Xenopus tropicalis: one gene and its partner. The protein of the gene in region 1 interacts with the protein of each later gene in a biochemical or structural test. Links are inferred from orthologs where the notes say so. Each region holds a gene or a part of one and is shown in the gene's direction. Other genes may lie near its edges.

What was found.
Region 2: the proteins of sytl4 (region 1) and rab8a form a complex in vitro, tested with the Homo sapiens proteins (2 studies listed by BioGRID). The link is inferred for Xenopus tropicalis from reciprocal best matches to the Homo sapiens genes SYTL4 and RAB8A.

What each region holds. Positions count from the first base shown.
Region 1 is NC_030684.2:64,656,499-64,660,901, reverse strand, and holds the start of sytl4 (synaptotagmin-like protein 4), read left to right. Parts: upstream 1-1,400; 5' UTR 1,401-1,608; intron 1,609-4,403. UniProt on the Homo sapiens protein: Modulates exocytosis of dense-core granules and secretion of hormones in the pancreas and the pituitary. Interacts with vesicles containing negatively charged phospholipids in a Ca(2+)-independent manner.
Region 2 is NC_030677.2:104,432,106-104,435,933, forward strand, and holds part of rab8a (ras-related protein Rab-8A), read left to right. Parts: intron 1-748; coding exon 749-809; intron 810-2,587; coding exon 2,588-2,665; intron 2,666-3,828. UniProt on the Homo sapiens protein: The small GTPases Rab are key regulators of intracellular membrane trafficking, from the formation of transport vesicles to their fusion with membranes.

The sequences.
Region 1 (4,403 bases):
TAACTTTCACTCTAATTAGGGTATGGAATGTTGTACATTTGTAGCTGCAAGCCTGTGAATGTTGCTATCAGTATAGCTCTGGTGCACCATCTGAACACCCAAAAATAAATATAAATCCAGTTTTTACATGCCTGAAGCTACGGACTGAAATGAAGCCATAATATTCAATAGCCATTTCCCAAAATCCCTTAGGCTCACAGTGTTGTGCAAACCCTCCCCCTATCTTGTTCCATTGTGAAGTGATGTATTTTAGAACTTTAGTGCTTTCCATAGTTGGTTGTGCACAGATTACCTGGAAGTCAGAAGGACACTTCACAATAGAACAAGGTGAAGGAGCAGGTACCTGCAGCACAGACACACAAATTCCTTTCAATCTATGGAATCAGATATGTCTGTATCTGTAGTAAGTCAAATCAACTGGACTTGCTGTGTTTTTTTTTCTTGAAGACGTTTCGCCAGTCATCCAACTGGCTTTCACAATTCAGAAATTACTACAGATATACCATGACCTGGATGACCTGAGCATCTTTACAAACGGATATGTCTGTGTTAAAAAAAACCTTATTTTTGGAAATTTGTTTATGCATTTTTTCTGCACAAGCCCAACTATATGAGCTCATGTTCAATTAAATGTCATCATCGTACACATAAAGAACCAGTTTTGTAAGGGCCATGGCCCATGGGTAGATTTGTTTCCCACAGTAAAACTACTCTCCCTGATACGCCTTCCAACTGGCAATTAAGTGAATCGCTGGTGGGAAAGTACAAGCAGGGGAAAACGTTGAGTGACTTTGGAAAACAAAGCAACATCTTCCCACTGGTGATTCAGTTTATTGCCAGTGGGAAGGTGTTTTTTGAAGATTATTCGCCCTTGGTAGCACAGATTTAACAGCAGGAGACTAGTGTCCCAGTGGGCCATGGCCCTAACTTGTGTGCCTACTAAATGACGTGTGCATACAAAACGCTTTGTGTGGGAACTTGTGACAGTTCTGACACCAGCTTAGTTCCACCAGTTTAGAGGGAACACTACAGAACAGTTTTATAATACTGCTATTAGTTATGGTAATAACATGTTTATACAACGATTATAGTTGAGATTTGAACAAGAAGTAAACGCATGAAATCAGTGTAAAATCTGTGCAATGGGACACACTCTGGGGTGATGTTAAAACCGATCCACTGGAAGGAGAAGCACTGCATAAACTACCTGCACGCTGCCGGCATCCTTCCAATCTGCCATCATGGCAGAAACCTATATTTCTTCTAAAATAGCTGGGCACACTCAGTCCTACTGCGGTTACTTAGATGATAAAGATTTGTTATTATTCCTGTCAAATCCTTTCCTATCCCGCATTTCCATTCAGTACATTGATCTTCCTGTGCGCACCCTCTTTCCCCTCCCACACGGCTGTGACTCCTTTGCAGGTGCGGTCACTTTAAGAATTGTGTGCCTCTCCCCTCCAGTCCCAGGCAGCAGCTGGGAAACTTTCAGCTCATTCCCTTTCTCGGTCTAGCGCTCTGCTTTTCCGCATTGTGTGGCGAGCAACCTTGTTACCGAGCTCTCCCGCCGCAGCCATAGCCCAGCCGTGGAGCTTCCTGTGAGCGCAGGTAAGAGCCATACTCAGCAACTGTGCGCACCACAAACCGGATCTGGGAAAGTTCCTTCCAGGCTGGCCGGCCAGTAGGCACTCACCTCTCCCTTGTATTTTCTATGGTGGGAATTACAGGTCCTTGTTCTACTTCAAACGCCCGTACGCCATTGCCCTAAGGGCAAGGCTTATAATAAAATGCACAATAGGAGGCTGAACAGGGCATTCATCCTTCAGGGCTGCAAGCAGCACAACTATGGGGTACCCAGTCTTTAGTGGGCTCTTAAAACAAATATTTGGTACTGTGGGTATAGCATACATGGTTCAGAATCTTACACTTCTATGGCGACCCCAGTGGGGAAAAAAGGATTTGGATGGTGGCCCTACAGCTAGATTCTCTACAGCCCTCTATAGAGAGGTGTAACTTGATCTTCTCAGGCCCCCTTAATGGACAGTGGATATTCCTGGCATATTCCATAAATCTGAAGAGTTCTCACCTATGTCTTTAGGTGGTAGCGATCCTACTGGCATTTCGGAGACCTTTTTTTTCTATGTTACTGTGTTTCATGTGAAGAGGAACTAGATTTAAGATATTCCAGGAATGGGTCATGATCAACCGAAAGACATGGGCTTAGTTGACATCTCTGAGCATGTCTCTTTAAAGTGCTGTATTGGCATTTGTTGCAGTCTTCTGATTGTTGTTGCAAACATTAGTATATCAATGGGGATCCAGCGATTCTGTTTGTAACAGATGCCAGTGTTTAAAGCAACATTACCATTTATCCTGGCACTGTATAGTGACAAGTAAGAGGGGCCTGGATGAGTTTTTGAACAAGCAGAATATCCAGGGCTATTGTGATACTAATATCTACAGTTAGTATTACTGGTTGTATATATAGTTTATGTATGTGAGTGTATAGATTGGTTAGTATAGGTTGTGTGCTGGGTTTACTCGGATGGGTTGAACTTGATGGACAATGGTCTTTTTTCAACCCTATGTAACTATGTAACTACTATCCTTTAATTTGCCATGGAACGCAAATCTCTGAGCTCTGTTTTTCTTAAACCGCATTAAAGAGGTTACATTCAATTTCCTTAATACTTTGCTTAGTTTGGCAATCTCAAAAATGTTTGTAACAATGTCACATAGTGCCCTGGCATTGCAGCAGAAGGGGCTTGGTTTTATAAAATGATTTTAAAATAATAATTTTGGCAATCAAACTTAACATGAGCAGGGAATGATTTGGGCAAGGAAGGTTTTTGAAAAGAGCAGGTTATGATCTGGGCAAGAAAAACTATTGACCTAAGCAGGGATGTTCAACCTGTAGACCTCTGGCAATTTAACCAGTCTGTGGGTTTTAAGTTCAGTTTAGAAACAGATGGAGTACTTGTCATCTCTGACATACAGATACACATTCATTAGCAGTGGGAACATATTGTGGAACTACTGTTTGTTTCCTAGAGCCAATATAAATATCTGTACCCAGCCCTATAGACGTCTGTGCAGTGCCAATATTTGTGTAACACAGTATGCATGGCTGAATGGTAAGGCTTGCTCAGTGTTTACCTCTGGCTTCTGTGATTGAGGAGCATTTTAGCTGCTGTCTTTTTTTTTTTTTTTTTTATACTGACACATTTCTTTTTCAAGTCCCATGTAAAGGGAAATGTAATGTAAAAACAGTTTTTTCTTAATAAAATTGAATTATAAGCAACTTTCCAATATAAATTCATTAAAAAATATTGGTTTTAAAATGAATGGTAGATGTAATTGCTTTTGAAATCAGTACCTGTCTAGCTGTTTATATTCTTTGCAGTTTTGGTTCTGTCTCCTAAATCAATCAAGCAGAGGCCAGCTGATTAATAGACCTGGAAGAAAACTGATGTTCACTATATTGTTTCTGGAATCAGAACCAGACAACAGAAAGGAAACATAAATACTTCTTTCAGCAGATATTAACTTTACAAACAATGTTAAAACCATTGACATTTTTTATAAATGTATATTGGAAAGTTGCTGTATTTAGTGCCCCCCCAGTTTGCAAACTGCGCATGATGTTACATCTGACCATGATGCATTACATTGGGTCAGGTACCCCAGATTTGCACAGCAAGTCTCCAGTGGTAACTGGGGAGGTTTTATTTTTCCTAAAAAATAATACAAAAAAATCTCTTGGGCACCTGAGTGCCTATATATAAATACAGCTCCGTGCTTAGAATTACATTGTCTTTTTAGCATGCAAATATAGTTATTAGGTGGAGATAGATCTCCTTTATATTCTCTGTACTGAAACATTTTGACCTTGTGGTTTATTGTAAGCTAAGGTAAAATCAATATGTCAGTTTTTAAATGCAAGTTTGTTAATACAGTGCACAGCCTTTCCATCTACTCTCACAGCTGGTTCATTATAAAGCATGGCAATTAACTGGTAGTCTGATTGTAGGGGAAGTTAACCTTTTAATTCTGCAGGGTGACAAATAAGATACTATCTGGGCTGGTGACCCCAATAACCCAAACATTGCATTGCACAAAAGGCTGAAACACTCTAATTTTTTTTATGTATCTGAGCACTTTTTAGTAGTCATTTTAACATTAAACCAAGTGACTGATTACTAGCAGTGCTGTAACTCCAAATAAGTGGAGCTTGCAACTGCAGGGAACAGTGGGGAGAAGAAACTTGTTGAGATCCCCTTTATCCTGGTTGCACCCTCCCTCCTACCCACACATCCAAGCCAAACATGCACAGGTATGCCAAAGCGACTTGGAGAAGCCCCAAAATGATTTTGTTAGTGGACCCTGGTAAAGGAAAGTTGTCA
Region 2 (3,828 bases), on another chromosome or scaffold:
TGCTGAGCTGCAAGTTGGAGTGATATCACCCCCCTCCCTTCCCTCCTAGCAGCCGATCAGCAGAACAATGGGATGGTAGCAAGATAGCAGCTCTCAGTAGATGGCGAGGTAACCAAGCGAGCGGATCCTCTCCCGATATCCCCACCTACCGGTGGGCAATATTCGGGGTATTTAGGCTAATTCAGAATTATAACGATTGTTAAGGGCGCAGTCGGTTCGGGGGCCGCATCAACGAGCCGATGTGGTCCCCGATCCGACTGAATCTTGTAACCTGCCCGATCTATATCTGGCCAATTTCAGGCCAGATATCAGTCAGGCAGGCCAGTCGTTGCTGCCCCTACATGGGCCTACAATCGTGTATGGCCACCTTTATACTCAGTAGGGGAAACAATAGATTATCTGAAAGCAGTTCTAATGTGTAATGTGTTTAATGTGGCTCCTTCTGAAAGCTCAGGCACAATGTACTGAGATTGCTATGTAATCAGTGTAATTTACAAATAAAAATTACAACCTGTAAATCATGACAATCCCTTTAATGCATTAAATGTTTGGGGGACTAAACACCCAAAACAAATTAATGTAAAATTGCTTAAACGAATGCTGTTTACATTATTTGTTGTTTCCTTTACAAAAATACTGCCTGAAGCACGATTCCCACCTTGAACCATAAAAAGCCCCCCTTGTTTTGTTTTTTTTTTTTTCTCTGCTTACATTACTGATTGGTCATAATACTGTTCTACAATTCTAGGGATACCGCAGGACAGGAACGGTTTCGTACAATCACCACTGCATATTACCGAGGGGCGATGGTAAGTGATAAAATAAGGTTGCACATCCACACTGCATTTCAATTGGTTAGTACACTTTCATGCGAGGATTTTCTTTTCCTGAAATGTAAACAGTAATTCAGCAAGCTAATTCAGCAAGCCCCCCCCACCCCCCCCCCCAGCCCATCTATTTTTTTTAACCACACAAGCAAAAATTATATCCCAGCATTAATTACAAGTAGGGTAAGTGGGGCTTGAGGTGGGTTTGCATGTGATAAAGTCTTGTTTCTTTGAGCCTTTTTCTAAGATAGCTTCAGTAATGCTGCTGAAGCTGGGGGGATCAGGATTCATAGTTGTCAGGACAGAATAAGATACAGCTGGGTAGGAGTATAGGAATTTATTTGTTATCTTGCCCTTTGCTGTTCTTTGCATGGTAGGAGGCATTTAACCCATTGGTGTCCTCTGCAATGAGAGATTATAGGAAGATTTTGACAGATGTCTACTTTACCCTTATAATCTCTGGTATCTCAATACGTGGAGTATTTATATTGCTGAACAAAAAATAATTTTAATATCAAGAGAACAAGGATGTAAACAATAGGTGTTGGTTAATAAGAGACAAATCACAACAATAAGCCTAGTGGTACATTTCATTAGAACTGCTACAAGAGGTGCTCACTTCTGCTATTGCAAAAACAATACGTCACTTTGGCACCCTGATAAGTAACTTCTGCTTTGCGGTATATTGTTATCTTTAATTATTATTATCCTTTACAGAGCACCGGTATATTACAAATTGCTTTACAGGAAAATGCTTAATCATTCACACCAGTCCCTGCCCTTGTCAAACTTTCCTGCCACACACACACAAATACAAACACAATGGTCAGTTTCATCAGCAGCCAGGTGACTTACAAGGATATATTTGGGAGGAAACCCACACAAACATAATGAGAACATACTGTGAGGAATCGGTGCTTACCATTAGACTCCTGTAACCTTTTCTAGCACTGATTTCAGAGAGCACTGTATCACTTTTTTTCAACTTAAGTGGCCTACTATAGTGCTTACAATTAAAAGAAAACTTAAACCCCCAACCTCCCTTTTTAAATGTATTCCCACATTCTCAGGGCCCCCTTCTCCTTCCCAACTGCATAGACCTCTGTGTGAAACCCCATGAGACCCCCATACCTGGTATGTAAATTTAGAGTTGTGCAACAGGGTTGGATGGTGTTATATTCGGCCATGAGACATTCAGTATTGGCTAACATGGTTAGTTAAGCAAGCTGAACTAACCTAATAATGTGGTATATTGACTAATGAATGGTTTGTCGGTGAGATTGAGCAGGTTTCCTGATTAATTCCAATACACGTTGCATCAAAATGTGATCAGTTAAAACAACTGTTCAGAACCTGTTTCCAAAAATTCACATGAAGTGTTCACGGTTCACCTGATATCCTGTTTCGGCCAGCTTGTGACACATTCATGGTTACAAGGAATTGATGTATAATTGATTAGGATCTTATTTTAGCAACCAAACCAATGATTGTTGCACAAGGATTGCCTGTGTTCTACTTCTTTTACTAAATACAGAGGTGGTGGCATATAAATATGTGTATGCATAGAAATGATATGTGACAATCTCACAGGGAAATTATTAAACACTTACGTGTATTTTCATAAACCAGTTTAAACTAAGAGCTAAATGACTGTACACATATATTCTAAAACAGTATAAAATAAACAAGTTGTACTTTCTTTCTTGTCATTGCATTACTGTTGGATATCATTTCATAAGGAAACATTTTTTTTCTTTTAGGGAATTATGTTGGTGTATGATATCACCAATGAAAAATCCTTTGACAATATTAAAAACTGGATCAGAAACATTGAAGAAGTACGTATTCATTTTTAGCCTAGAACTGTTATATTTTTTTTTATAGATCTGGACTTCCTTTTTATTCAAGCACAAGTACCTGTAGCATGATTTGGCAATGGCAATGTGGTTTCTCATTAAAAAGAAAGAATATCGTCTCTCTGCAACAAATCTATTCACCTGAAATTCTTGTTCCAGCAGAAAGTATGTTCTGTAGAGAGCTTGGCACAGGTTTATGCAAGTGTGCCACATACCTGATAAAGCAGGTGCACACAGGTCCTGGCTGGGATTCGCAAGAGGCCCTGGCATTTCAAGTACACAGAGGCCCAAACAGTCCCCCACCAGTCCACTAAATAGTGACTGTCTGTGGCACCTTACAGCAACCCCTCTGGCATCTGCCAGAATCTACAGCCAATTTGGGGGCAGGTGCATATAAGAGAAGTATCATGGGCATATTTGCTTTTGTCTTGACTGATCATATTTATTTTTAGTGGGGAGAAAAGCAGTGTACCTTTATATATGTTATAGATAGTGGAATATTTCTATTTTTAATTATAATTCAAACAAACAAAATTCTCTCTTCACCAGCATCTGGTTTGCACTTTTCCGCACTAATAATTTTTTTTTTTTTTTATTGATAGCTCTACAAAGAGAAAGCAAATAAGTGAATTATGTTGGACATTAAATTGGTCTCACATGCCAATTTGGTCATGTGCTCCCAACTCAAGCATAGCATGGTCCAAATGTGGGCCCATAATGGCCATTGTCTATATTTTTGGCAGTTTGGGGATCAGAAGGGCCTTTCATTTTACCAGTTTAGTTTGTTTGAATGACTGGGATACAAGGAAGGAAGGAAGGAAGGCTGTTCTCCCAGTTACCATATATACTGGGCCAATGTGATCACTAGCCAAACAGATTTTTCCTACATTATTATCATCATCATGTATTTATAAAGCACCAACATATTCCACAATGTTTTACAATATACATTGAACAGATTTACATACAAAACAGCCAATAACTAATAAAAGAGGTAAAGATGGCTCTGGTGATCTTTGTATGACCAGCATGTATGATGTATGACCATCTGTCAGACTTTTGATTGCATGACAAGCCACTTTGACTTCAAAGCGTGATAGGAAAACTAATGTTTGATACCATCATACTATTCTGACTGACAAGTT